2 linked regions of the Arabidopsis thaliana genome follow. The protein of the gene in region 2 interacts with the protein of the main gene of each other region in a pairwise test. Each region holds a gene or a part of one and is shown on either strand. Other genes may lie near its edges.

Region 1 (4,083 bases), on a different chromosome or scaffold from region 2:
CGAAACAAGATGTTGTGAAGATGGAAGCTGATATACTTCTTGCTCTTCAGTTTGAGTTGGGAAGACCAACGATTAATACTTTTATGAGGTTAGATTTGTGTGTATTGGTGATGATTACTTATTGGTTTGTCTTAGTTTCATTGTTCTGATTTTGTGTGTTGGTGTTTGTGTAGACGGTTTACTAGAGTTGCACAAGACGATTTCAAAGTTCCACATTTGCAGCTAGAGCCTCTTTGTTGCTATTTGTCAGAATTGAGTATATTAGATTATAAGACTGTGAAGTTTGTGCCGTCTCTGTTGGCTGCTTCTGCTGTTTTTCTCGCTCGGTTCATCATCCGTCCGAAACAACATCCTTGGGTAAGCATATTTGTCTCAGTCTCTTTCAGGTTTTAGTCTGCTGTGGTCATTGTTTAGAATGAGACACTAATGATTTATGGTTGTGAATATGTAAACAGAACCAAATGTTAGAAGAGTACACAAAGTACAAAGCGGCTGATCTACAAGTGTGTGTTGGAATCATACATGACTTGTATTTGAGCAGAAGAGGAGGTGCTTTACAAGCTGTTAGAGAGAAATATAAGCACCATAAGGTACTTAAACATTACACATTGATAAAATCATTTGAATAAGCAGAGCTTTCTTGATACTTAATGTTGCTTCTTCTCGGTACAGTTCCAATGCGTTGCGACCATGCCTGTTTCACCAGAGCTGCCGGTTACCTTTTGGGAGGATGTTACCATTTGATCTGAGGTTATGCTATCTTAAGCAAATGTTACGGAGCTGGATTACCGAATCTTGTTTCAAATAGTATAATGGACACAGATCTTCAAGTGAAGCTAGAAGAGTAAGAAATATAGAAGTGAAGGCAGGAGCAAATAAGTCTGCGTTATGTGAAGATGTGTGATGTATTATTGAAATCTCTTCTTTTTTATTTACAAAATTTTAGTGTGAAATTCGGAATAATATAATTTTATACAATTATGCAATATGATATAAGTATTTATGTGACATGATCTTATTTTGTTTAAGCATTGAGCCTACTACTGTATGTTTATACTTAATGAAAATTCCTAGAGGGCTAAAACTCTAGAAGACATTGTTGTTAATTTAAAGAAACTAATGAAAATCTCAAGAAACAAAAGAAAAGAAAAGATTGTCTATGAGATTGATAATCAAGTTTACTAAAGAGAGATTAAACTTGAGAAACAAGAAACAAGGGAGCTTTAGCGATGACTTGAAAAGTTTCGGTGTGAAGATCCAAAGACAAAACCATGGTTTCAACTTTCACCCTCGTGTGAACCAGTGAAGTGAGCCATCAACATACACAGGATCTTGGGTGTGAGAAACCAGATAAGGGGATGCAGGACAACGTACCTCCAAGTGTTGGTTGCAAAATCAAAAACTTCACAAGTTGTAGCGTTCTCGTTTAGGCCTAACTCAGCGGAATAAGCAAATCAAATCGAAATTATAATTAGGGTTCTACTTTACAATTTTCTCCAAAGTAAAATTACAAGTTTTAGATTAAAAAAAGATAATTATATGTAATTACTTTTTGAGATTTTTAATCAAGTAAAAAAAGGTAATTTCTCTAAATTAACACGTTTTGGAACGATTTTTTTTTTAATTTCCTTTTTTTAATTACTTGGGATTTCGTGTTCAACAAGTTATTGTTTTGGGCTTTGGTTTAATTTTCCTTTTTTTTTTAGTCTGTCTCATCTCTCATCTGAATTCTGAAACCTGGTTGTTTTAGGATAGAGTCTTCTACTCTATATATAGGACTTAGTGTAAGATTTATTGTTGTTCTTTCGAAGATGTGTTCTTGTTTTTCGATAAATATGGTGTCTAAGAAAGATAAACAGATTCATTCCGACCATAACCCTCAAGATGCTTCCCCGGTAGAGTGGGCGGAAATTCGACATAAGCTACTTGCGTTTCAAGAGAACATTCAATCAGGCTCTGACATTGACGCTAGGTCTGATGATCCACAGATGTGTGGACTTTATGTCTCAGATATCTACGAGTATCTCCGTGAATTAGAGGTACGTAATAAGATCTCCTACTTGCTCTGTTTTTGGACTTAGAACATTGACAAGTTTCAATAGGTCAATTTAGTATACTTTATCTGAAGAGTTTCTATGATTGTTCTCTGTTTGGACTTAGAATTTGTGGATATGTTCTGAAGATTTGTGTTTTTGGTTTGGTGAATATTCAGGTGAAGCCAAAGCTAAGACCTTTACATGATTACATTGAAAAGATTCAAGAAGATATAACACCAAGCAAGAGAGGTGTTTTGGTAGATTGGTTAGTGGAAGTTGCTGAAGAGTTCGAACTCGTGTCTGAAACACTCTATCTCACTGTCTCTTACATTGATAGATTCTTGTCATTAAAGATGGTTAACGAGCACTGGCTTCAGCTTGTGGGAGTTTCTGCAATGTTTATCGCTTCGTAAGTGTTTTTGATCCTCTTGTATTACTCTCTTTGCTATTCATTGTCATGTTGAAACTTACATATGGAGTGGCTTCTCTTTTTTGGCATTTGATATAAATAGGAAGTATGAAGAGAAACGTCGCCCTAAAGTGGAGGATTTTTGTTACATTACGGCTAATACTTATACGAAACAAGATGTGTTGAAGATGGAAGAGGATATACTTCTCGCGCTTGAGTTTGAACTAGGAAGGCCTACGACAAATACTTTTCTAAGGTTAGAATTGTGATGAATAATACTGACTTTTGGTTGTATCTTATGGTTCTTTGTTCTCATCTTTTGTTGTGTTTGTGCAGACGGTTCATAAGGGTTGCACAAGAAGATTTCAAAGTGCCAAACTTGCAGCTAGAGCCTCTTTGTTGCTATCTGTCAGAACTAAGTATGTTAGATTATAGTTGTGTGAAGTTTGTTCCATCTTTGTTGGCTGCTTCTGCTGTCTTTCTCGCTCGATTCATCATCCTTCCTAACCAACATCCTTGGGTAAGAACTTTTGTCTCAATCTCTCTTTTTCAGGTTTATATGTTGAGTTAATCTTTTGAATGAGACACTAATAATCTATGGCTTGTAATGTAAAACAGAGTCAAATGTTGGAAGAATGCACAAAGTACAAAGCGGCTGATCTACAAGTGTGTGTGGAGATCATGCTTGACTTGTACCTGAGCAGAAGTGAAGGTGCTTCAAAAGCTGTTAGAGAGAAATACAAGCAACATAAGGTAATTGACATATTACAAATTATGAAATCATTTGATTTAATTAGTAGTATCATTTATACTTAAATGTTGCTTTTTATGGTACAGTTCCAATACGTTGCGGCAATTCCTGTCTACCAAGAGCTTCCGGTTACCTTTTGGGAGGATGTTGTTACCATTTGATCAGAACCAATCTTTCATTTCCCAATTGTTACTGAGCTCGATTACTAAGGGACACTGATCAACAGTTGAAGCTAGAGGAGTCATATGTTATATGTATCGAAGTGAAGCAGGAGCAAATAATTTGTGTTGTGAAGATGTATTGTGTTATTACTTGATTAACATTGTGGTGACAAATTAATGTGTTACTCTGGAAATTTATACGATTATGCAATATGATAAGAAGTATTTTATGTGACATGATTTTATTTGTTTAATCATTGAGCCTCCTATGACAAAATTTATAAGTTCCTAGAAGGCCAAAACTTTAGTAGTCAATAATTTACTTCAAATGGTATCGAAACCAGATGAATGGGAAGACATGACAAGATAAGCCTTTAGACTTGCTATGATCCTTGACAAAAACAAAACAAAACAGAAATTGTTCATTTAAGTCAATAAAAAGGCAATTTCTACAAGTGAACCCTTATTGGAAAGATTATTTGGTAGAATTGGTCTGGTCATTTCCAACATACGTTTATTAGATAATAACAGATAGGCGGATCATATAAGATAGAGTTGTCAAATCGGGGTGTCCATGTCCATTAGCCCAATCCAATAATGTCTATTTTGATATTGGACGAACATAGTCCGTATCCATTAACACCTTTGTCCAATCCAATAATGTCCATTTTAATATTCGATTTTTCCTCAAATCGATTTAACCTAACATTATAAGACTATTGGGCC
Region 2 (5,769 bases):
GACTCTTTTCCATCGTTGAAACATCCGGCGGATGTAATCGGGAACTTGACACGAACTAAGCCAAATGATTCATGACGTTCTTGATCAGATACTTCATAAGCAAAATGACTATCTGCACTCGGAAGAGAGATACTCACAACTTCTTTGTTAATAAAAGAAAGTAAAGGAACAAGCTTTCTTGAAGTTGTGTTACGACATTCGATTTCGTAATACTTCTCGAGACAGCAATCTTTTCCGATTCCGAAAGGGTATGGGATAGAGATTCCTCCACATTCCCTTTGACAAGCATCTGCAGAATAAAAAATCAGCAAAAGTAACAGCATGAAGAGATTCAAGAAGAAAGAGCAATTTGTACTTTCGTTGCTCATGTTTCTCTACTAGAGCAAAGTTGATCTTCCTGAGTTAATTGTATTAACTATAAAGCAGATGGCCTTTGTAAGTGGAGACAGAGGATAAGATTCCTTGTGCTAATGGTCTTCATCTTTGGATATTTTATTGATACCTCTCTTTGTGTTTCTTGATCAGATCAATTATATGGCGGAAAGCTTCTCTTTTACTGGTTTAAATATTGTTGAAAGTCTGTAAAGTGGAGATCATCAATTCTTTTTGGAAAGACATTGTTGGTAATTGATTACAGAAGAAAGATAAAAAAACTACTCTGGCAAAAATGCAGTTTCTTGCAAAAGTCATATTCATATCATCATGAAATCGTATAATACAAAAAAATAAAAAATAAAAACTTGAAAAGCAGAGTTGGGTATAAAAACACCGTCCATAACTAACTTTATTCATTTCTGAATAAAATAAACTAACACGAGAAAAACACGAGGAAACTTTAGGCTCCTAGAATTAAAATCGAAAATGATCCAAATTCAAGAGTGACTACGTTAGCAAAAACAGATTATCTGAACGAGTACCGGTCGCAGCAGTCGCAGCTTCCTCTGTTTATTTCTAGAGTGGGGCTATTTCCACGTTCACTACTCGACAGCTGCTATTAACCACTATGCTGGTTTCAATCAATGGCAGAGAGTCTGTGATCGGTGAGGCACAAAGGTGAACGTTAGGAATAATAAACACACAACAAACGTTCTTAAGCGGGAAACACAGACTAACAACTACTCAAATTTATTACAGAAAACATTTCTAACGAGATACATCAAATTCATTCATCATCATTACTTTAAGATCTGATTGAGTGTCACCATGTGAGAAGAGGATTCAATGGTTCAACATCTGAAGATGGAGGTGAAGCCACAATACTTGAGGCTGGAGCAGTAACACCAATGCTCCAAGAATCTCCTCTGTGTACTATTGTCACAACTTCTTCTTCTTCTTCTACTCCATCTTCTTCTTCTTCTTCGTCAATCCGGTTCTGCACCTGTGAATCTTCCGGAGACGTACAAATCCTTTCCAACTCTGTAAAAACTTCTCTCATATTCGGACGATTCCTTCCTCTAGAACTCAAACACTTCATTGCCAGATTTGCTACTGCCATCACTTGTTCCGGTTTGCTATCATCTCTTATTCTAGCATCCATGATGTCAGAAAGTCTTCTCTCTTTCATGGCAACTCTGAAATGCTCTGCCAAGGCTATTATTTCTTGAGTGTTTTGTACCATTATGACAGGCTTATCTCCAGTGATAAGTTCCGCTAGAATGACTCCAAAGCTATAAACATCACTCTTTTCAGTATATTGGCTGGACCGGTAATACTCTGGATCCACATACCCAACCGTACCTGAAATAACCGTTGTCCAATGAGTTTGATCTATGGTTACTGACCTTGATGTTCCAAAATCAGCCACCTTGGCTCGGTACTTTTCGTCTAGTAATATATTTGTTGACTTGATGTCTCTATGATAAATTGGAGAAGATGCAGCAGAATGAAGATAAGAAAGAGCTCCTGCAATATCCACAGCAATGCGTAGACGCATTCCCCATATCATAGTGTAATCATCAGCTTCTTCTTCGTGGATATGCTTAAAGAGGTTTCCGTTGATGATAAACTCGTAAACCAGAATAGGAACTTCTGTCTCAAGACAACATCCCAAGAGTTTGACTACATGTCTATGGTTTATCTGGGAGAGAATCACGACCTCATTGATGAACTCTTGAAGTTTGTCTTCATCTATAACTTTTGATTTCTTGACTGCAACGGTTCTACCATCTACAAGCATACCTTTGTACACAGTACCTTGACCACCATGTCCAAGAACTCTGTTTTCGCTGAAGTTTTCAGTGGCTTTCTCTAGCTCTTTCGAGGTGAAGATTCTTGCTTTTTCGACAACGCCTTGTCTTGTATTCAATTCTTGTTGCAACAGTAGTCCTCCATTACGTTTGAAGAACTTCTTCTTCCTCTTTGCCATCCTTCTCTTCACTAGAAACTTTCTCAACCACCATACTCCACCAACTAGGACTAAGACCCCAAAACCAGTACCCGCCCCTGCCAAACCGCACAAGAATATTATAGGTTGATCATCACTTGCTTTTTAAAAGCTCTAAATTTGTGGAACAAAAATCAGTGACCTACCTATCATTATTGCTTTAGTCTTATCGCCCACACAGCGATAGCCTCCCTCGAAATTCACACAAGTGTCTGTTTCTTTACAATATTTGGGATTCTCTTTACATTCATCAATATCTATAATTGAAAGATGAAAATACGATAGTCAAACGATGAAAGAAACTTCTCTAGAAAGGATGCTTGCTTCCACACACAAAAAAAGAGGAGGGCATAAGGAAAGAACATAATACTGACCTCTACATCCGTCCGAATCATATGGGTTACCTTTGTAACCTAGGTTGCATTCACAATTGGCATACCTAATATCAGAAATGATGCTCATGGTGTAGTCGCATATACACTTTATACTCTGGTCATTAGAGTAAGCAGTGTCCGTGTCTTTTCTGATTTTGCAGGCCAAGGAGTTGACGAAGGAAGTATTCCTCGTCTGCATTATCCATCCTAGACTTAATGTAGCATATCTCTTAGCATGTAACTGTTCTGGTTTGGTCAGCTTCGACAAACTGAAGAATTCATCAGTTAAGAAGGCGACTCTACAGTCTCCACTTGTTGTTGACTTTCCATCATTGCTCTCTATTCTGATACCAATAACTTGTTGAGGCTCTCTAGGTAGACTCGCTTGACAACATCCCCTACCATCGCATCCCATATCTTCCGGTTTGTTTCCTGTACAAACCTGGGCGAAAGTATAAGAAAAAGAGCACCCCGTTTTGTCGAAGAAAGGGATGCTGTTGCTATCCGACGCGTTAGTCGTACTGCAGTTCAACTCACATCCCACCATGTTTTGCTTTATATGCTCCAACGACACCTTGCTGCTGCAACCAACTCCCACAAGGTTGTTTATGTCACTAACGAAAAAAGGACTATCCGTCAAGTTCATTACTGGTGCGGAGTCTTTTCCATCACTAGAACATCCTGCGGATGTTATCGGACTTCTGACACGAACTGACCCAAAGGATTGCCTACCAGGAAGATGGATACTAACAACTTCTTTGCTAATTACAGAAAGAAAGGGGACAAGCTTTCCTGAAGTATTAAGACATTCGATTTCGTATGACTTCTCGAGATAGCAGCCCTTACCGATTCCAAAAGGGTATGGGATCGCAATTCCTCCACATTTGCATCCTCCACATTCACTTCGACATGAGCTTGAAGCTGTGAGATCTGCAGAATAAAGGATCAGAAGAAGTAACAGCTTGAAGAGAATCAAGTGAGAGTTATTTGTATTTTTGTAGCTCATGGTTCTCTGCCCAAGCAAATTTGAACTTCCTGAGTTTTGTTCTTTACTATAAAGCAGATCAAGTTTTGTTCCTTTGTAAGTGGAGACAGAGGAAAAGAGTTGCTCGTGCTAATAATGCTCTTCATCTTTGAATATTTTAATTGCTACCTCTCTTTGTGTTTCTTGATGAGATCAACTTTATGGCGGAAAGCATCTTTTTTACCAGTTTAAAATATATTTCAAAGTCTTTAAAGTGTAGATCATCACGTGTTTTGCAAACAATTTTGGTAATTAATTTACTAAAGATAATTTTAAAAATCTACTATCGCAAAAGTCATATTCATATCATGAACTAGTAAAATACAACAAAAAAAAAAACAATGAAAAAGCAGAGTTAGGTATAAAAAAACGCTATCCAATAAATTGAATATTGAAGAAGATTAATAAGAAAGGTGTAGGCTCGTAGTGCTAAAATCGAAAAGGGAATGATCCATCATCCAAGAGTGAATACATTTAACAGAAACAGAGACAATCTGTAATGGTAAAAGATAATTAGAATTCAAACCCCCAAAACGTATAACAATCGTCGTTTACGACAGTAGAATCGCATATTTACCCACCAAAACCCTATTGTCTTGTTGTATAGAAACAAACCAGAATCAAAACTGTAAGCACCTTCATATATTAGCAATCCATAGCATAAGATTACCTGAATGAGTACTCGCATCCACAAACACACATGCACACACAAAATCTCTTCTCTGTAGCACCAACACGACTAAGCCTTCTTCTTAGCTCACTGGATCTTCCTCAGCTCGGTGTCCCGGTCTCAGTAATTGCAGCTTCCTCTTTTATTTCTGGAGTGGGGCTACTTCCACGTTCACTACTCGAGCTGCTGCTATTAACCACTTCGCTGGTCTCAATCAGTGGCAGAGAGTCTGTGATTGGTGAAGCGGAAATAGCAGGAAGAAGTACATTCTCCTCTGAATGCTTCGGTTTGTTCAGAGCATTACAGTGAGGGCAATAGTATGTAATGTAAGCAAAATCCTCTTTCCGAGCAAGTCCTGCATTTACAAAGCATATTGCAAAATTATGTTAGAAATAAGTATATAGTTGAAAGATTCAGGTAAAGGATTTGCTTAAACATTCATTCACCATTGTGCATACGACAGTTTCCACAAATGAGCGCATATGATTGTGTGGGATCTTCGCCCACAAGTAGAGCCGCAATGCGTGAGATCCAACTGCCATCATGAGCAGCATATCCCTGAGGGCTGTAATGCTCAACCAACATCTGCTGGTTTTGCTCTGTGGTGCCTGGAAATCTCTCGCTTGTTCCAGAATGGTGAGACTCATCATCAGAATGATGTGTTGAAGTGCTCCCAGAACCGTGGGGTCTTGTATTTGGTTGCCTTCGATTCCTCAACCCACGTGATTGGTTAACCTCCATGTCATTGCTCTTGCCCGAGGATGGATCGAGTTGGGATTCATCTCCTAAATATACTTTCAAGCCTGAATCGGCACCCAATTTGGATGCCAGGACAGTTGCGGCAGCTGCCTTTGCAGCTGGGTCCGGGTCATATCTCTGCATCAAAACAATTCTGTTAGCACCAGCTCTACATGCAGTAGTTAACCTCTTCAAGTCGGCAAACATTGATCTCTCTTTCGTTGCATGGCTATGCCACGCCTACGAGACATACTTAAGAAAACCACTTTATGTATTTCTATTGCTATATACAGGCATAGATGCATGTCTCTGTTGGCATTAAATACAATGAATTCCAACTGCCATGTCAGACTAAGATTCCAACTTTCTATTCATAATTGCTATTATCCCAAAATATGGACAACAATCTTCGAAAACATAGTCACTCACTATCCAGTAACTATAAATGATAACCGTTGGAAGAATCAGTACTTGTCATAAACGGAATTACCACAAATTCTCTGTGTTCTCAAGACTAGTAATCTCACCTGAATAAGTTGTTGTGTGGTATAATAATTGGTCCTTTCTTTAAGTTCATTGA

The links. The genes of interacting proteins can lie anywhere in the genome.
Region 1: the proteins of AT4G31100 (region 2) and CYCA3;3 interact in a protein complementation assay, tested with the Arabidopsis thaliana proteins (one large-scale study listed by BioGRID).

Annotation. Positions count from the first base shown.
Region 1 is NC_003070.9:17,301,841-17,305,923, forward strand, and holds CYCA3;3 (Cyclin A3;3), read left to right. Parts: upstream 1-1,835; coding exon 1,836-2,039; intron 2,040-2,212; coding exon 2,213-2,445; intron 2,446-2,548; coding exon 2,549-2,701; intron 2,702-2,781; coding exon 2,782-2,965; intron 2,966-3,063; coding exon 3,064-3,198; intron 3,199-3,282; coding exon 3,283-3,357; downstream 3,358-4,083. Other genes in the region: CYCA3;2 (cyclin-dependent protein kinase 3;2), read left to right, coding at 1-88, 174-357, 456-590, 673-744.
Region 2 is NC_003075.7:15,121,856-15,127,624, reverse strand, and holds AT4G31100 (wall-associated kinase), read right to left. Parts: upstream 3,863-5,769; 5' UTR 3,764-3,862; coding exon 2,758-3,763; intron 2,641-2,757; coding exon 2,530-2,640; intron 2,443-2,529; coding exon 1,199-2,442; 3' UTR 741-1,198; downstream 1-740. Other genes in the region: AT4G31110 (Wall-associated kinase family protein), read right to left, coding at 1-368; AT4G31080 (integral membrane metal-binding family protein (DUF2296)), read right to left, coding at 4,553-4,806, 4,898-5,429, 5,717-5,769. UniProt on the Arabidopsis thaliana protein: Serine/threonine-protein kinase that may function as a signaling receptor of extracellular matrix component.